5 linked regions of the Callithrix jacchus genome follow. Each later gene encodes a partner of the first gene's protein in a complex. Links are inferred from orthologs where the notes say so. Each region holds a gene or a part of one and is shown in the gene's direction. Other genes may lie near its edges. The genes, in order: NDUFAF1, TMEM126B, TMEM186, ACAD9 and ECSIT.

The links.
Region 2: NDUFAF1 (region 1) and TMEM126B share a complex: the UniProt entries of both Homo sapiens proteins name them as parts of the mitochondrial complex. The link is inferred for Callithrix jacchus from reciprocal best matches to the Homo sapiens genes NDUFAF1 and TMEM126B.
Region 3: NDUFAF1 (region 1) and TMEM186 share a complex: the UniProt entries of both Homo sapiens proteins name them as parts of the mitochondrial complex. The link is inferred for Callithrix jacchus from reciprocal best matches to the Homo sapiens genes NDUFAF1 and TMEM186.
Region 4: NDUFAF1 (region 1) and ACAD9 share a complex: the UniProt entries of both Homo sapiens proteins name them as parts of the mitochondrial complex. The link is inferred for Callithrix jacchus from reciprocal best matches to the Homo sapiens genes NDUFAF1 and ACAD9.
Region 5: NDUFAF1 (region 1) and ECSIT share a complex: the UniProt entries of both Homo sapiens proteins name them as parts of the mitochondrial complex. The link is inferred for Callithrix jacchus from reciprocal best matches to the Homo sapiens genes NDUFAF1 and ECSIT.

The regions. Positions count from the first base shown.
Region 1 is NC_133509.1:45,212,935-45,216,448, forward strand, and holds part of NDUFAF1 (complex I intermediate-associated protein 30, mitochondrial), read left to right. Parts: intron 1-1,531; coding exon 1,532-1,717; intron 1,718-3,514. UniProt on the Homo sapiens protein: As part of the MCIA complex, involved in the assembly of the mitochondrial complex I.
Region 2 is NC_133511.1:54,664,684-54,668,997, reverse strand, and holds the start of TMEM126B (complex I assembly factor TMEM126B, mitochondrial), read left to right. Parts: upstream 1-1,509; 5' UTR 1,510-1,522; coding exon 1,523-1,600; exon of another isoform or gene 1,601-4,314. UniProt on the Homo sapiens protein: As part of the MCIA complex, involved in the assembly of the mitochondrial complex I. Participates in constructing the membrane arm of complex I.
Region 3 is NC_133513.1:11,045,549-11,049,615, reverse strand, and holds the start of TMEM186 (transmembrane protein 186), read left to right. Parts: upstream 1-1,255; 5' UTR 1,256-1,280; coding exon 1,281-1,283; intron 1,284-2,312; coding exon 2,313-2,954; 3' UTR 2,955-4,067. Other genes in the region: PMM2 (phosphomannomutase 2), read right to left, coding at 951-1,016. UniProt on the Homo sapiens protein: As part of the MCIA complex, required for efficient assembly of the mitochondrial complex I.
Region 4 is NC_133516.1:73,260,998-73,264,511, reverse strand, and holds part of ACAD9 (complex I assembly factor ACAD9, mitochondrial), read left to right. Parts: intron 1-641; coding exon 642-717; intron 718-2,059; coding exon 2,060-2,130; intron 2,131-2,381; coding exon 2,382-2,501; intron 2,502-3,514. UniProt on the Homo sapiens protein: As part of the MCIA complex, primarily participates in the assembly of the mitochondrial complex I and therefore plays a role in oxidative phosphorylation.
Region 5 is NC_133523.1:10,650,114-10,653,627, reverse strand, and holds part of ECSIT (evolutionarily conserved signaling intermediate in Toll pathway, mitochondrial), read left to right. Parts: intron 1-2,614; coding exon 2,615-3,032; intron 3,033-3,514.

The DNA.
Region 1 (3,514 bases):
TTCAAGTGATTCTCCTGTCTCAGCCTCCCGAGTAGCTGGGATTACAGGTGCCCGCTACCATACCTGGCTAATTTTTGCAATTTTAGTAGAGACGGGGTTTCACCAAGTTGGCTAGGCTGGTCTCAAACTCCAGACCTCCTGACAGAGTCTTACTCTGTCACCCAGGCTGGATTGCGGTGGTGTGATCTTGGCTCATTGCAACCTCTACCTCCCGTGTTCAAGCAATTCTCCTGCCTCAGCCTCCAGAGAGGCTGGGAATATTGGCATGCACCACTATTCCTGACTAATTTTTGTATTTCTTGGTAGAGATGGGGTTTTACCATGTTGGCCAGGCTTGTCTTGAACTCCTGACCTCAGGTGATCTGCCTGCCTTGGCCTCTCGGAGTGCTGGGATTACAGGTGTCAGCCACTACACCCGGCCCAAATATTCATTTTGGAATAATGAAAATAGTAGATAACAGTTATTAAGTATATCCTGCTAGTCCTTGTGCTAAGCACTTTATATACGTTATTTATGTCTCACAACAATCTCCTGAGGTAAGATCATCCCGGTTTTATGGATGAGGAAACAGACTTGGAGAAATTTAGTAACTTGTCCAAAGTTAAATGGCTAATAAATATTACTTCATATCTAGACATTGGTATCCTTGACATCTGAGTAACCTTGAGATTGCTCTAACTGCTGTTGGAAATGAACACTACATTGCACTTTTGAACATAGAGGCAGTATAGATAGTTGTTAAGCACACAGATTTGGAGTTAAACAGCACTGAATATACCACTTAATAGCTGAACTATACCACTTATTAGCTCAGTTTCTTTCCTTTTTTTTTTTTGAGACGGAGTTTTGCTTTTGTTACCTAGGCTGGAGTGCAATGGCGCGATCTCGGCTCACCGCAACCTCCACCTCTTGGGTTCAGGCAATTCTCCTGCCTCAGCCTCCTGAGTAGCTGGGATTACAGGCATGTGCCACCATGCCCAGCTAATTTTTTATATTTTTAGTAGAGATGGGGTTTCACCTTGTTGACTAGGGTGGTCTCAATCTCTTAACCTCGTGATCCAACTGCCTCGACCTCCCAAAGTGCTGGGATTATAGGCTTGAGCCACCGTGCCCGGCCTTGGATACTGTTGTTAAATATCACTTTTAAAACTGAAGCTATATTCTTCATAATTTTCTGACTTATGGAAAGGCAGTTGTCATAAAATAGGCCACTCAGAAGCCACTGCTCCATAAAGACCTGATAGAGGAAATACATTTATTTCCATTCATTGAACACAGGTGAGTGCCTACCCGATGTAAAAACACTGTCCTGGGCCAGTCGTGTTTTGAACATTACCTTCGAAACATATAATCATGTCAGGATTTTGTTCTAAAATAATAATTGGCGGGTTTATCTGCCTCCTTATGGGACAGAAAGTCAAAAAAGAAAAATGGTTAGTGAATCCTGTTGATGATACTGATGTGGTGATGACTCACATTTTGGTAATAGTGGAGAATGAGGTACAATTAACTTTTCTTTCATTATCTTAGGGTGCTTTTGAAAGGAAGATGCCTTATGATTGGACCCAGTTTAATACTCTGTATCTCCGTGTACGTGGGGATGGTCGGCCTTGGATGGTGAATATCATGGAGGACACAGATTTCGTCCAGAGGAAGAATCAGCTGTATAGTTACTTCATGTTCACCCGAGGGGGTCCCTACTGGCAGGAGGTCAAGGTAACAGCATAAATCTTCATTGTTTATAAAAATGAGGTCTTGGCTGGGCGCGGTGCCTCACGCATGTATTCCCAGCACTTTGGGAGGCCAAGGCAGGCAGATTATAAAGTCAGGAGTTCAAGACCAGCCTGGCCAACATGGTAAAACCCCATCTCTACTAAAAGATACAAAAATTAGCCAGGTATGGAAGCACATACCTATAATCGCAGCTACTCTGTAGGCTGAGGCAGTAGAATCACTTGAACCTGGGAGGCAGAGGTTCCAGTGAGCTGAGATCACGCCATTGCACTCCAGCCTGGGTGACAGAGCAAGAAAGACTGTCTCAAAAAAAAAAAAAAAAAAGGCCGGACGCGGTGGCTCATGCCTGTAATCCCAACAACAGCATTTTGGGAAGCCGAAGCAGGCGGATCATGAGGTTAAGAGATCAAGACCATCCTGGACAACATGGTGAAACCCCGTCTCTACTAAAAATGCAAAATATTAGCTGGGCATGGTGATGCATGCCTGTAATCCTAGCTACTGGTGAGGCTGAGGCAGGAGAATCACTTGAACCTGGGAGGTGGAGTTTGCAGTGAGCTGAGATTGCGCCATTGCACTCCAGCCTGGCAACAGGGCGAGACTCTGTCTCAAAAAAAAGAAAAAGAAAAGAAAAGAAATGAGTTCTTGGCTGGGCATGGTGGCTCACACCTGTAATCCCAGCACTTTGGGAGGCAGAAGTGGGTGGATCACTTTAGGTCCAGAGTTTGAGACCAGCCTGACCAAGGTGATGAAACCCCATCTCTACTAAAAATGTAAAAATTAGCTGGGCATGGTGGCACACGCCTATAGTCCCAGCTACTCAGGAGGCTGAGGCGGGAGAATTTCTTTTTTTTTTTTTTTGAGACGGAGTTTCACTGTTGTTACCCAGACTGGAGTGCAATGGCACAATCTTGGCTCACCGCAACCTCCGCCTTCTGGGTTCAAGCAATTCTCCTGCCTCAGCCTCCCGAGTAGCTGGGATTACAGGCACACACCACCATGCCCAGCTAATTTTTGTATTTTTAGTAGAGACAGGGTTTCACCTTGTTGACCAGGATGGTCTCGATCTCTTGACCTTGTGATCCACCCACCTTGGCCCCCCAAAGTGCTGGGATTATAGGCGTGAGCCACCGCACCTGGCCGAGAATTTCTTGAACCCGGGAGGTGGAGGTTGCAGTGAGCTGAAGTCGTGCCATTGCACTCAAGCCTGGGCAACAGAGTGAGACTTTGTTCCCTGGCATCTGTAGAGTGCCAGACATCCTCACAGTTTTCAGTAGCATCACCTCCAGCTTATTCCTTAGACTTCTTTCCAACCAGGATGCTTTTCCAGAAATTTGGTCAAATTGTACACCGTGTGGTATAGGATCAGCCATGATTTCTTTCTGTGGTTGTGCATCTGAATCTCCTCCAGGGTGTAGTACTTCTTGTCCAACTGTTCAGCCATCTCCACATGGGGTGAGCCAGGCCTGGCTCACACAGCCACATGGGGTGGAGCAGAGCCTGTGACTCTGCTAGCTCTCCCTGGGACATTCCCCACTGCGAGCAGCATGCCAGGGGCCCATTTTTTATTTTGTTTTATATTATGTATTATGTGGATATTCCATAGTTGTTTAATGAGTCCTCTGTTGAAGGACACTTAAGTTGCCAATTGCTATTATTATGTTTCAGTGAAAAACCACGTGCAAGATCACTTTGTATTTATGCAGATGCATCTCTAGGCCAACTTCTGCAAGTAGGATTACTGGGTTAAAGAGTAAATGCTTTTGTAATTTTGATAAA
Region 2 (4,314 bases), on another chromosome or scaffold:
CAAAAAATACTTTTAAAAACCTCTTTGACTCCAGTCTCTAAAAAGGTAGGTGAGTTTGAACAGCTTTCTGGGGCAGAACACACACTGAAAGGCCCCCTTCTATTTACTGATCAGAAGTTTCAGATCTCACCCTCTCAGTAACTCAGGATCCAGCCTGCTGTCACTTTCATTTTTTTCTTCTGTGCTCTCCAAGCCCCCAGGCTTGATCCTTTAATGCCCCTCTGATTCTGATCCTCCCATGTATTAACCAAGAGGATTGAAAAAAAGGAAAGCAATCCCTTGGCATGGAGACATTAAAGTGACAGTGCTACTCAATGGGCACTTGATGCAGGATGAGTTGGCGAAGGAGACTTCTTCACACTGGAGTCATTCACATTATGCCATCTCTTCGCATACAAGCAGCTCCCTATCCGGCAAGGAAAAACACTGAAACTTCAAGAGAAGCCAAACCTTCTCCCAGAGGTGTTTTCAGAGACGCCGTAGTAGTATTAGACATGTAAGCATAAGCTATGCAAACGGTCCGCGATTTCCTAAATGAGAAAGTGCAGCTGCTTGGTTTTCACATCCACCTTTTCTCTCAATCTCTCTTCAAACTACCCACCTTCCTTTTGCAGAAAAGACAGGACATTTCTCTGACACCGCTGGCCACCCCTGCCCAAGCCCCGTTCTTTTAGGGAAGAGCACTGAAATGTCCTGCACCCTTCACGCGATGAAGTGTTTCCTCAGGCAGGAGCAACAGCAGCACTAGAAATTATATAACTCTCGAATTTGGCTTTTCTAAGATATGGAGACTGGAGGGTCGGGGGTTGCCGGTCTGGGAGATACTGCTGGGCATTTAAGCGCACAAAATAGCGTCAGGCCTTGCAGTGCCCCCTACCCCAAGACACGGCTGACAAACGGGTCTTCTCGGGGGGTAGGGAGCAAATTTCTCTACGGTCTCTTTCCAAGCGGGGCTTAAGCATGGAAATGAGGGGACTACAGACTGGGGAGAGGAGTCAGACGGCTGAGAGGGGAGGAGGCTAGTCGGGGCTGCTTTGACGGCATTCGGCTGCTGGTTGGGGGTTTTGAGGAGGAGGTGCCCGAGAAGCAGAGCTTTAACACACAGGCCAGGTCAAAGGGGCGAGTTCCCTCAAGGACTGAAAGGGGCAGGCAGCTAGTTCCCAGCTAACAGAGCTGCCCTGAGGAGAGGCAGGAGCGCAGCAACATTCCAAAATTCGGGCCGCCCCATCTTACCCGCAGGACGCGGGGAGAGGCGGTAGCTAGACTGACAAATAGCAAGAGGAGGAAATACTCGGCTGGCGAGCGGGGCGGGCCCGCAGGCATCTGGACCTCTTCTAAGCAAATGAGTGGCCGTAATTTCCAGATTCCGCGCCCAATCACAGTCAGGATGGAGGGCGCGGCTTTTGACTGAGTGGGGGCCGGCCCGGGCTGCAAGCGAGACGCGTGAGCCGTAAATCAGCACCACTTCCCTCCCAGGGCGTTCTGGGTCCCCGCCCCCTTGCAAGTCACGTGAGTCATCAAAATGGCGGCGCTCGGGTATGAGGCTGGGGCTAAGTTGGATTCAGGTGTGGAGCCGGTGGGAGCTGAGGAAGCGCCCAAGGTAGGCGGAAACCCGAAGTGGTATAGTGGGGGTGATTTCTGCAGCTTCAAAGTGTTGGCAGACTCTTCTAAGATGATACATGTAAAGGAGATTTGAAACGTTAAAGAACACAGCTCCCAAGTCCATGCAAGGAGCAGTCGATTTAAGTCTCCAGTTGCTGTGGAAAGAGGCGGAGAGAACGTAGAAGACCTAAAGTCAAGTCCTCATTATCTGCAGTTTGTTTTCTCTTGTCTCCAGGTCTTTGCAAAGGCCTTTTCTTCAACTTGGAATATTTTCCTGCTTCTATCCATCCCAACTCCTGTGGCAAATTGTTCTCTTTCGGGCATTGGTTTAAATGCCACTTCCTCGGGGAAGCCTTCCCATGCTTCCTCTGGCTAGATCGTTTGCCTTTTCTTGGTTTGTTGGGTTTTTTGTTTATGTCGCTCTCTCATTCTGCGTTTAAATTGTTCTAAACCCTCACTACATTGTGGATTCCCAAGGATGGGATTACCGGGAGGCCTGGCATATACCAGGTACTCCCTAAATGATGAGCGAACATTCAATGAAATTCTAAAGTTTAGGTGAAATAATAAACCTGAAAGCACTACAAAACCGTCAAATGCTTTGCAAACTATAAACCTACATATATGCAGTCTTACTGGTATAAATGTGGTGATTAGTTGAGTGGCCTTAAAAGGGGAGGGGTGTAATGAAAGCAGTTGATCTTCGACAGTGCCTTGGAAAGCTTAAGCACTTAATAAATATTTCCTGTGTTGTTTTCAGCATTTAGTATTTGCTGTCCTGTAATCATAATCCTGGGTGTTTTCCCTATAGAGATTTTAGGGTGTAGACTAGGTAGGAGATTAGTAGAGGATGTTGCCTGAAAGTTTGTTTTGTTTTTCGTTTTTGGTGGGAGGTGGGGGACTTCAATGAATTGGATGAGAGCAAAACAAAAATTTATCTAAGGTTTATGGTTACTCATGTTATTGGCATCTGCCCTTTTAGTACAATAGATGGGTTAGGTATACAACCTCCCTTAGATGTTACTATCTCTTATACTTTACATTTGGGTGTCAGGGAGAGGCAAAAGATTAAGTCTAGTCCCTGAAAATTTGTAATCTGTAAAATATTTTACCTTTTTTCCCCCTGCCCTCTCCAGAAATGTTACAGAAAAAGATCGAGTACAGTTGTGCAATGATGCAGAGAAAGAAACTGGTCCATTATTACTCCCTGTGTAACACCATGAGAAAGTTCAAAGGAGCCCATACCTTCTGTATGTTGATGCCAGGAGCAGGAGCTGTGGATAATTAGCTGGCCCTTCTATAGTTAGGACTGGAACATACTGCTCATTCAGCAAATGAGTATTACAGTGATATTCAACGTATGTCCATTGACTACAGCATCAGAAACCCTTGGTGCTATTAAAATGGAGAGTCTAGGCCTCATTCTACTGTTACGGAATCCAGTTATCTCAGGAGGGAGTTCATGAGACTGCATTTCAAATAAATACGCCACATGATTCTTGTGCATGCTGAAGGTTGAGAACCACTGATTTATTAAGTATCTTCTGTGTTCATTATGCTTCATCCACTCTAATTCTCTTGCCTAGGACTCCTTAAATTTGAGATTTAGTATTTGCCTTTAATATAAACATTAAAATTGGGATTAGTGTAAATTTGTGAAGAGGCTGTTTGGCTAATCCAGATGAAAAAGAGTAAGAAGCAGTGAACTTAGCATCAATAGACCTTCCACTTGCTGCTGTAGTAGGTAAACATTTGCAGCCACATGTTTGGATTTAACAAATGTTATTAAGACTTCACAGAGACCGTAGAGTCTTGCCCAGAGCAAAACTTCAGAAAGGATCCTGTCTGAGAGTGCAGGGTTTGCTTTTTTGTTGTTTTGTTTTTTAACCTCTCTAGTTTCTGTTAAGATGCTACTGGCCAAATCTTCATGGTCCCTTGACATTGGCAGCTGTCTATTTATCACACTTAGGACACAAGAACCTTACAACCGAGGAGCCCAGTGCCATGGGCCTCTGCTCTGGCACATGCCCATTTCTCACAAAGGCTCTGCTTCCACCACAGATGCTAATAGGGAACGGGATATATAATTTATGTACTCCAAAGTAGTAGCCACCATCCACTGCCTGTTCCCTTTCTGGAGCAGTGCCCCTCTTTCTGATTTTCTCTCTCGCTGTTCTCCAAGGCAATCCCTGCTCTCTGCTACCTCTCCAGGAAATACAGCACTATTTCCAAAATAAGCGCAGTCTTTCATGAGAAACTGGGGATAAAGATGTCAATAAGCAGCCACTGTTTCCACTTCCCCACCTGAAGAACTAGGACAACTACAAAGGGCCTGACTACCTTCTTGGAATCAGGAGAGGAGAAAACTAAGGAAAACAGAAACAGTATCAGTATGTCATTCTTCTACACTAAATCTTAAGGCAAGCGAACCTTTCAGAACCTCAGTTTTCTCATCTGTATAGAGATAATCATCATACTACCAATTTCTTGGGTTAGTGTGTGAATCAGAAAGCCAGTATCTGTGCATTGTAGGGTGTTTAGCAAGAAAAAATATATATAACAAAAAGCCAGTGTCTAACAGATAATAAGAACTCACTAAATATTGATTGAATTATTAACATAAAGTATGTGAAAGCAGCTGACATAGTACCTGGCACACTACTAAACTATAAATGTTTTTAAATCTGAATCTATAAATTCTGTAAGGAATTA
Region 3 (4,067 bases), on another chromosome or scaffold:
AGACACCATATGGCACAGGGGGTAATATCCCCATTTAAAGCTGAAGATGAGGTCAGGCGTGGTGGCTCATGCCTGTAATCCCAGCACTTTGGGAGGCTGACGCGAGTGATCACCTGAGGTCAGGAATTTGAGACCAGTCTGGTCCACATGGTGAAACCCTGTCTCTACTAAAAATATAAAAATTAGCATGGCGTGGTGGCAGGTGCCTGTAATCCCAGCTACTTGGGAAGCTGAGGCAGGACCCGGGCGTGGCGGCAGGTGCCTGTAATCCCAGCTACTTGGGAGGCTGAGGTAGGACCCGGGCGTGGCGGTAGGTGCGTGTAATTCCAGCTACTTCGGAGGCTGAGGCAGGAGAATTGCTTGAACCTGTGAGGCGGAGGTTACAGCAGTGAGCCGAGGTCGCCCCATTGCACTCTAGCCTGGGAGACAAAAGCGAAAACTCCTATAAAAAAAAAAAAAAAAGCTGTAGATGCTGAAGCTCAGAGACATTAATGACTTGCTCAAGGTCACACAGCTGTCAAGAGGTGAAGACGAGACTCCACTAGGTCGGTTTGACCTGGAAACCTTTTAAAAATATTATTCACGGCACAGCTCATTGGTTACAGGACTGAGAATGTCTGTAACATAGCTGAAAAGGGGGCTTGATCTCGGGTACAAATCCTGGTCCAACAGTCCCGAGGACCAGCCGTGAATCCAGATTGCATTTTCCGACCCAGCACAAGTTTCTTGCTCTTAGGAGTTCTTCAGCCCCGTCTCATCTCTCCAAGCACCAAGAGCTCTTGAAGAGCTGGTCAGAGCTTCACTCTCATTCCTCCAGGACACCCCGAGTAGGGTTCAGCCCCCATGAACACTTCTGCGGTCCTCAGCTACCCCTTGGCGCCCACCCTGGGTGGTCGATAACTTCAACTGGGAACAGCACGGGCTCCGTCTCGGCTGCTACCGCCACTTACCTGCCGCGGAGCGGTGAGGGTCCCATCCACGTCGAAGAGGCAGAGCGCTGGGCCGGGACCTGCCATATCCCCAGTTTCTAGCTGCTCCTGACGAGACTCGTTGGCACCAGGAGCTCAGCCCGGAACTTCCGGGTTCGGCCCCCGAGCTGCAGGGCACGTCGGGAAGAGGAGACTCTGTTCCCACAATGCCTGGGACTAGCGCCAGCCACGATTCCTGGACCGCAACTCCCAGAGTGCAACGCGGTCACGCCCGCCTTGTACGTTCGAGCATGCCCTCTTAGAGGTTCCGGGGACCGGTGGCATTTACTTCCGGCAGCAGGCGGTGGGACAATGGTAAGGAGGCGGGTGACGAGCCTTGTTTTGGGGATCGGGGTCAGAGCTGGGGCAGGCAGACAAGACGCCCTACTGTCGGACTCGGAGAATCCCTAGTAGGAGGCTTCAGCGTGGGTTACAGTTCGCCATTCCCCCGGCTTTCTCTGACCTCCTTGGGTCACGTGCGCAGCAGTAGTACTCGCTAAAACTGGCCAGGCTCTCACAGTGCATCAGGTACTAAGTTGAGGGCTCTAAACCATCTTCTGGTTCACTGTGTTCTGAGTCCCCATTTTGAAAGGTGAAGAAACGGAAGCTCAGGGGTGTGAAGGAAGTAATTTGCTCAAGAATCCACAGGCAGTGACTGTTGGAGCCAGAACCGGAACCAGAACTTTTACTGCCTCGTTACTCACCTAATAATATCCTTGTGCTATGTGTTGGGGCCTTCCTGCTTCTCTCCTCCTCCTCTGCTATTTCTGCTTCCCCAGACTAGGCTAAGAAAGCAGCAGTTTCCTCTAGCACCCAAGATGACATATAAATCAAACAGAATTGGAAAGTTATTGGGATAAATATTTCACAGATTTGTTGCTCAAGTTCCCCACTAAGACACTGATTATTTAGTATCCTGCTTGGGGAAATGTTCACAACCCCTTTTGGATCCATTGTCCAGCCCAGAGTTGGTCCTGCCTAGATAGGTTGTGAGTTAATGAAGGCTGTACCTCTTTTCCTATATTTATTTGGAATTGCCTGGTGAAAAGAGGCCCGGTTTGAGAGTCGGACTCTGCTGCACTCACTGACTATGTTTGGGTAAACATCTTACCCTCTCTGGGCTTAGTTTCCCTAGTGGTAAAGTGGAAATAGGGATACCTATCTTAGGTAGCTGTTGTGTTGCTCACATGAGGTAGCATCTGGCTTTACCCTTTCCTTCTCTGGCAATAATGGTGACCTTGCAGGATTGGCAAAAGCCTTGGAGTGAGATGCTTTGCAGATGTTTACCGTGTGATTAATGTGGTTGAGTTCCATAAGAGAAATGGTCTACTATCTCCCTTTCAGGCTGCCCTTCTCCGAGCTGTGCCTAGGTTTCCAGGAAAAACTGCATGGGGACGGCCTCTCCATGGGCTGTGGTGGTGCTGCAGTGGGCAGGAGGATCCTAAGAGGTGGCTGGGGAGCACGTCACCCACCTCAAAGGAGAAACCACCAGACACAGAGACTGAGAAATTCCGGATGTTTTACCGTTTTGATGCCATCAGATCCTTCGGGTACCTGTCTCGACTGAAGTTGGCACAGACTGCCCTGACAGTGATAGCTTTGCCACCAGGCTATTACTGGTACTCCCAGGGCCTCCTGACTCTCAAGTCCCTTTGCATCATGAATGGGGTGTCATGCTTTGCTCTGGCCATGCTCTGCTGGATGAGCTATTTCCTTCGGAGACTGGTTGGCATCCTGTATCTGAACGAGTCTGGCACCATACTGCGGGTGGCCCACCTGAACTTCTGGGGCTGGCGGCAGGACACATACTGTCCCGTGGAAGATGTGATACCCCTGACAGAAACCAAGGACTGCCCTGAGGAGCTGTTCATGCGTATCCAGCAGTACAGTGGGAAACAGACCTTCTACCTTACCCTACGCCACGGACGCATCCTGGACAAAGAGTGTTTCACACAGGTGTTTGGGGCGCTGCAGATATTCAAGTAAACAACTGGGAGCTGGACCTCTGGGTAATTCTGGGTTGCCTGGATTGACAGGAAGGCCGAGGGTGTGCGCAAGATTGAAGAAAGGGGATTGAGTACTTGGAGACTTTCCTGGGCCCCTGGGAACATGTGTTTTGTGATGTAGAAATTTACAAGGTGAGATTTGGTGTCCAGGTTTAGGAAAAAGGCTCTAAATGCAAGTTCTTTTTTTTTCTTTTCATTTTTTGAGATGGAGTTCGTTCTTTTCCCCAAGCTGGAGTGGTGTGAACTCAGCTTATTCAGTCTCCGCCTTCCAGGTTCAAGCGCTTCTCCCACCTCAGCCTCCCGAGTAGCTGGGACTACAGGTGCTCGCCACCACACCTGGCTAACTTTTTTGGTATTTTTAGTAGAGACGGGGTTTCATTATGTTGGCCAGGCTGGTCTCAAATTCCTGACCTCTTGATCCATCTGCCTCGGCCTCCCAAAGTGCAGGGATTACAGGTGTAAGCCACCGCACCCGGCTAAGTGCAAGTTCTGATAGCACTTGTGTGTGACATTCAGTCAGATAATGGCTGGAGGTTTCTGTTAGGAGCCAGTTATTAAAGGAACCTATGCCAAGGTCACCCAGACAGTCCATTGCTGTGAAATGGGAAGGCAAAGAGGTGTGGCAGGGGAGTGTAGAATTTGGAGCCAGAAGTCTCAGTTCTGTTACTTGTCCTGGCAAAGAGGTTATTGAGCCTCTTTGAACCTCCATCTATAAAATGGAAAGTCTTCTTGTTGCATGGGATGGGTGTGGGAATAAACAATAAATGTCAAAATTTTTGCGGACTCAACAGCCCAGAGCAGATATTAAGCATTTGTATAGAGGTTTCAGCATGGAGAAAGACTTTGAGCAGTCACTAGCGACATCCAGAACTCTGTGCTGTGCCCCCTCACATGTCCAGCGGCAGAAGGGACTACCAGAAGGGACTGTTAACTACACATCAATGAGCAGAGATGTCATCCAGGTGAGCACAAAACCCCACCCAGAGGTCTAGAGACTCTTGCTTTGGATGGCCCTGCAGTGTAATAAAGCCAGATGGACGTATGCTGGTACACTGTTTTATAAACTAAAGCCAGTTATATACACTGCTCTGCA
Region 4 (3,514 bases), on another chromosome or scaffold:
CATGTTCGGAACATTTCATAGAAATACAGTCATATGCAAGATCCAGTCTTTGGTGACAGGCTTCTCTCACATAGTGTGATGTTTTCAAGGTTCATCTCTCTTGTAGCATGAATAAGTAATTCATTCCTTTTATGGCTAAATTATCTTTTGTTGAGTGGAGATAGCACATTTTGTTCATCCATTCACCAGCTGATGGGCATTGGGTTGTTAGCACTTTTGGCTGCTATCAATAATGAACATTCATGTCAAGTTTTTGTGTGGAAATATGTTTTCAGTTATTTTGCTTTATACCTAAATGTAGAATTTCTAGTGGGCCCAAGTTAGTCTGGAACTCCTGGGTTCAAGTGATCCTCCTGCCTTGGCCTCCCAAAATGCTGGTACTACAGGTGGGAGCCACCATGCCCAGCTCTGGCATGTTCCTTTGGAATAACGTTCAGTGGTCTTTCTTGTGTGCGGGGACATTGGTAGAGCTGCAACTGTGAGTGAACTACTTAGTTCCGAGATGTTAGGACAGTGCTTTCTCCCAGCCCGAGGGAAGGCAAGCTGATCCGTTTGCCTGGTCTGGTAAAGGTAGACGTGTGGTTATGGCCTCCTCCCCCTGCCTCCTTCAGGGCCCCTGGGCTCTCCCTTTCTCCCTGCAGGTGGCCATGGACATCCTCAACAGTGGCCGGTTCAGTATGGGCAGCGCTGTGGCTGGGATGCTCAAGAGATTGATTGGTAGGTAAGTCAGGGACAAGACCCTTTGTGTTCCACTTCCTGCTGCCCCGGCTCCATCCCTGGAGGCTCTGCCATTCCCCCGGCCACTTCCAGGCTGGTGCTGAACTAGGCCACCTCCACTGAGGGTCTAGCCTGAGCTCCGTCCATGGGCTTTTGTGGAGACCAGAGGGTCTCCTCAGCCTGCCCCTGAATTGGTTATCTTCGAATTCCTCTGTTTCACTTCCACACGGGATGGGGATGGGGGAAGGGGCTTTCTGTCTGGCGCGAGAGGAATAGGGGCAGAGCTGCTTGGTAAGCACGTACCATGAGCCAGGCTCCCAGGACACATGGCCTCTGGTGCCCAAGGTTCACGCTGCCTCAGTGACTGCATGGTGTGTGGGGAGTGGTTTGGAACCCAGGTCCCTGGGCCTCTGGATCTTTTTTTGTTCTGTTCTGTCAGGATACCTGAAACCTCCATTTTCCTTTGCCAGTGAGCTTAGAACAACCCTGTAACCATCCTGTCTGTTGTGGAAGCATCTGTGAGGAAATGGGAATGCCTGGGATGGCACATCCCTAAGTGCTTTATGAAGCTCCTCTTTGGATGCCAGGCTCTGGGCCGGCCTCTTTTGGGCCAAGATGGGCATACTTGTTTTGGTTTACCTCCATTTTAGAGATGAGAAGACAGAGGCTCAGAGAGGGCAACTGGACCCAAAACTAAAGCTCTCAGGCTCCAGGCTCAGGGCTTTTCTCACTTGCAAGTCCTCTGGGGAACTCAGCCCTGTTCACCTCCTGAGTGCGCCACACCTGGGAGAGCCTGTGGAGAACATAGCTACGGGCGGCAGGTGGTGGTGGTGAGGTGCTTCTGCCTGGGAGAGGCGCCATCTAATTCATGGGCCCTCAGAGCTCAGCACTTGGTCACAACCACATGCCTGGAAGTCCCAGCCTGAGTATTCAAGCCGGGCAGCCCCACCTGCTTTGGTCAGGAGCACTGTGCGCTGGGTTTGGGCCTGCACCGCCTCTCTCTGGGGCTTCTGTGCCTGGCTTTGTGTGAGGAGCCTTCTGCCTTCCACCTGGTTGCATCTTCAGGGAGGTGACATGCTTGGCCCAGGCCACTGGCTGTAAGAACCATTGCCAGGATTCAAGTCTGTATCTGATGCTAAACTGTAGATTCCATTAGGAGGGGTGGTTCTCCTCTGACCCATGGGTGCTGACAAGTGGAGTTACTAGCTTCTGGGGCATTTGATCTCAGCAGACATGCTTCTCATAGTGCCTGCCTGTGGGAAGGGTAAGGATGATGGCCATAGGAAATTATGTTTCAATAACAAAAGTTCCAGTTCTTTCTAATGACTCTGCTCTTCCTCAGAAATGACTGCTGAGTATGCCTGCACAAGGAAACAGTTTAACAAGAGACTCAGCGAATTTGGATTGATTCAGGTATAGACAGTTGAGTGCTGTCTTTGTGGATTTCACTGTGTGACATGACTGTGTTCTTTTGATGTCTGTACTGGTGACTCTTCTGTGGTGATTTGGGAAGAAGACTAGTTAAGGCTTTATTTAACAAGGGTCGCTGGGCTTGCTTTTCTTGGGCATTCAGGATTCTGACTTAATTACCTTCTCTCCTGTTCTGAAGATTTGGCTCTCAGCACATGCAAATTGCTTCTTGTGTTTTTTTCTGAATACTCCAGGAGAAGTTTGCACTGATGGCTCAGAAGGCTTATGCCATGGAGAGTATGACCTACCTCACAGCAGGGATGCTAGACCAACCGGGCTTTCCCGACTGCTCCATTGAGGCGGCCATGGTGAAGGTAACAGTGGCATAGCCAGAGAGCTGGCGCTGGAGGGAGGCTTGGGAAAGCTCCCTCACTGTGACCTTTCAAGCCTATGCTGTTGCCTATCATCTTCCTCCTGTCATTGATCCAGTATTTATGATGCACTAGCCCTGTGCAGCACTCCAGGGATAGACAGGCAGTGGGCGGGGAGCTGCAGCAGCAGGGAAGTGACTGGTGAGCAGCAGTTTGTAGGAAGGCTCCATGCTCCCACAGTGCAGTTTCTACCAAGCTTTTGCCAGTGGATCAGCAGTTTATAGCAGAAGGAGACCATTCTGTTAACGTCCTTTTAGAATAATAACATTGCAGCTGGCTTTTGTGAGAAGAACTTTTTTCCTTAATTTATGGCCTTCCTACTTTTTGGTTTCAAAACGTCCTCTTAAAAACTAAATATATGGCAAGGCATGGTGGCTCACGCCTATAATCCCAGCACTTTTGGAGGCTGAAGTGGGTGGATCACAGAGGTCTAGAGTTCGAGACCAGCCTGGCCAACATGATGAAACCCCATCTCTACTAAAAATAGAAAAAAATAGCCGGGCAAGGTGGCGGGCACCTGTAGTCCCAGCCACTTGGAAGGCTGAGGCAGGAGAATCGCTTGAACCCAGGGAGCAGAGGTTGCAGTGAGCCGAGGTCGTGCCACTGCACTCCAGCCTGGGCAACAAGAGTGAACTCCATCTCAAAAAAAAAAAAAAAAACAACTAAGTATACGAGCCTGGGCAACATGGCAAAACTCCATCTCTACAAAAAAATACAAAAATCAGCTGTCGTGGTGGTACACACCTGTACTTGGGAGGCTGAGGTGGGAAGATTATCTTATTTGGTTGAGGTAGATACTAGAGTTTTCTGTTGCTTTTGTTTTGTTCACGGTGGAGGGTATCATTTTTCGCTGTGTAAAAAAGATGGCTACCCTTTGGGGGACCCTACTTTGGTGCCCCCAACAATTGTTTTTAAGCTGGAATTGAGCTCCTGAGAGAAATGGTGAGAGGTATAGC
Region 5 (3,514 bases), on another chromosome or scaffold:
ACACACACACACACACACACACACACACACATTTATTTTTTAGAGACAAGGTTTCACTCTGTCGTTTAGGCTGGAGTACAGCAACACAATCATAGTTCACTGCAGCCTGGAAATCCTGGGCTCAAGCAATCCTCTGGCTTCAGCCTCCTGAGTAGCTGGGACTACAGGCATACGTCACCACGCTCAGCTTATTTTTTAATTTTTTCATAGAGAAATGGAGTCTCAGCCGGGCTCAGTGGCTCACACCTGTAATCCCAGCATTTTGGGAGGCTGAGGCGGGCAGATCACGAGGTCAGGAGTTTGAGGCCAGCCTGGCCAATATGGTGAAATCTTGTCTCTACCAAAAATAGAAAACTTAGCTGGGCATGGTGGTGCACAGCCAGCTACTTGGAGGCTGAGGCAGGAGAATCACTTGAACCCCAGGAGATGGAGGTTGCAATGAGCCAAGATCGTGCCACTGCACTCCAGCCTGGCAACAGAGTGAGGGTCCGTCTCATAAATAAATAGAGAGAGAGAGAGAGAGAGAGAGAGAGAGAGAGAGAGAGAGAGTCCCACTATGTTACCCAGACTGCAGTGCAGTGGTGCAATCAAAGCACACTACAGCCTTGAACTCCTGGCTTCAGGCAGTCCAACCACCTCTGCCTCCAAAGTAGCTGGGACTATCAGGCACTCACCACCTTGCCTGGATAATTAGCTATATATTTTTAAAGATGCCTTATATGTAACCCTTCTAATTTAAACATTCAATTTTAATTAAAATAAGAAATTCGTTACTGTATCATCTAGAACCAGGATTTGGCAAACTTTTTCATAAAGGGTCACATAGTAAATATTTTCAACTTTGCAGGCCACATGGGCTCCCTCACAACTATTCAATTACTTTGAGCTACACTGTAACATAAAAGTAGCCCCAGGTAGCCTCAGTGGCTCAAGCCTATAACCCCAACACTGGGAGGCTGAGGCAGAAGGATCTCTTGAGCCCAGAAGTTTGAGACCAGCCTGGGCAACATAGTGTAACCCCGTCTCTACAAAAAGATACAAAAATTAGCCTGGCTTTTAGTGATGCATGCCTGTAGTCCCAGCTACCCTGGACGCTGAGGTGGGAGAATCACTGGAGCCCAGGAGTTCTGGGCTGTTGTGCACTGTGCTGATGGAGCATCCTGCACTACGTTTTGTGTGAATATTGTGACCTCCTGGGACTTGGGGGACCACCAGGTTGCCTAAGGAAGGGTGTACTGACCCAGGTTGGAAACAGAGCAGGTCAAAACTCCTGTGCTGATCAGTTGGCTCATGCCTGTGATTAACCACTACACTTTAGCCTGGGCAACACAGCTAGACTTCATCTCTTAAAGAAAAAAGGGTGTCCTAGCACTTTGGGAGGCTGCAGTGAGTGGATCACCTGAGGTCAGGAATTTGAGACCATCCTGGCCAACTTGGTGAAACCCCATCCCTACTAAAAATACAAAAATAGGCTGGGTACGGTGGCTTATATCTGTAATCCCAGCACTTTGGCAGGTTGAGGTGGGTGGATCATGAGATCAGGAGTTTGAGACCAGCCTAGCCAAGATGGTGAAATCCCATCTTTACTAAAATATAAAAATTAGTGGGGCATGGCGGAGCACATCTGTAGTCCCTGTTTGGGAGGCTGAGGCATGAGAATCGCTTGAACATAGGAGGCAGAGGTTGCATTGAGCTGAGGTCATGGCACTGCACTCTAGCATGAGTGACAAAGTGAGACTCTGCCTCAAAAAAAGAAAAAAAGAAATCCCAACACTTTGGGAGGTGGAGACAAGATGATCACTTAAAGCCAGGTGTTTAAGACCAGCCTGGGCAAAATAGTACAACTCCACCTCTGCTGAAAATTTAAAAATTAGCCAGGTGCCATGATGTACACCTGTAATGCCAGCTACTGGACAGGCTGACAGGGAGAATTCTTAAGCCCAGGACTTCAAAGCTGCAGTAAGCCAGAGTAGCACCCTACACTCCAGCCTAGGCCACAGAGCCAGCCCTGTCTGAAAAAAAAAAAAAAAAAAAAGGCTGGGCACAGTGGCTCACTCCTGTAATCCTAGCACTTTGGGAGGTGAAGGCAGGCGGATCACCTGAGGTCAGGAGTTCCAGACCAACCTAGCCAACATGGTGAAACCCCATCGCTACTAAAAATATAAAAATTAGTTGGGCGCAGTGACGGGAGCCCGTAATCCCAGCTACTCTGGAGGCCAAGGCAGGACAATTGCATGAACCCAGGAAAAGGAGGTTGTAGTGAGCCGAGATTGCCCCATTGCACTCCAGCCTGGAGGACAGCAACGCTTTGTCTCAAAAAAAAAAAAAAAGGGCATGTGTGTGTCATCACTATGAATATTACCAAGTTGCCTCCATGGCAGTTTTTAGCAGCTGCCCCATGGCTGACAGCGCCTGTTTTCTCCCTGCCATGCCAGCACTGTGTTTTATTGCACTTTGTAGTGGCCTCGAATCTTGGGTTTGTAACCACAGTTTCCTACCTCCAAGGTCCTCAGGGAGGCCACTGGCACCTCTCCAAGGAAAAAGCCAGCCTGGCAGCCCCCCTACCCCAGACACTGGGAGGTGTCAGATTCCAGCAGTTCTCCTCCCTCCCCAGGTCGCCCGCCAGCTCCCTCGGGGCCTCCACTGCAGCGCAGCCACCCACAGCTCTGAAACGGCGCTGGTTCCCACCCCAACGGAACCCCAGCAGAGACGCACCAAGGCCGTGGTGCCCTATGAAAACATGTTTGGGCAGGCGCCCAATGGGAAACGGGACAAGGCGAGCTTCCTGCAGGCGGTGCAGAAGTTTGGGGAGCACAGCGTGCGTAAGCGGGGCCACGTTGACTTTATCTACCTGGCCCTGCGCAAGATGCGTGAGTATGGCGTTGAGCGGGACCTGGCCGTGTACAACCAGCTGCTCGACATCTTCCCCAAGGAGGTCTTCCGGCCTCGCAACTTCATCCAGCACATCTTCATCCACTATCCTCGGCAGCAGCAGTGTGGGGTGGCCGTCCTGGAGCAGATGGAGAACCACGGTGAGGACAGGAGGCCCTTGTGGGGTGGGGAGTGGGCTGCCCTGAGAGCTGGCAGCACCTCTCCTGGGTCTCAGCCCCTCCTTCCTCCACAGCTCCCGTCCCCCTCCCAGTCTCTCTTTCCCTTCCCCTTTCCTTTCTCTTCTCTTTCTCTTGCCCCTTTCCCTTCCCCTCCCCTTCCCTTCCTCTCTTTCTCTTTTTCTTTTCTTTCTTCCTTTTTTTTTTTGAGATGGAGTCTCCCTCTGTCACCAGGCTGGAGTGCAGTGGTGCATTCTTGGCTCACTGCAAACTCCGACTCCCTGGTTCAAGTAATTCTCCTGTCAGCCTCCAGAGTAGCTGGGACTACAGGCACACGCCACCACACCTACCTAATTTTTTTGTATTTTTAGTGGAGATGGCGTTTCACCATGTTGGCTGGGATGGTCTCCATCTCCTGACCTCGTGATCCGCCCGCCTCGGCCACCTAAAGTGCTGGGATTACAGGC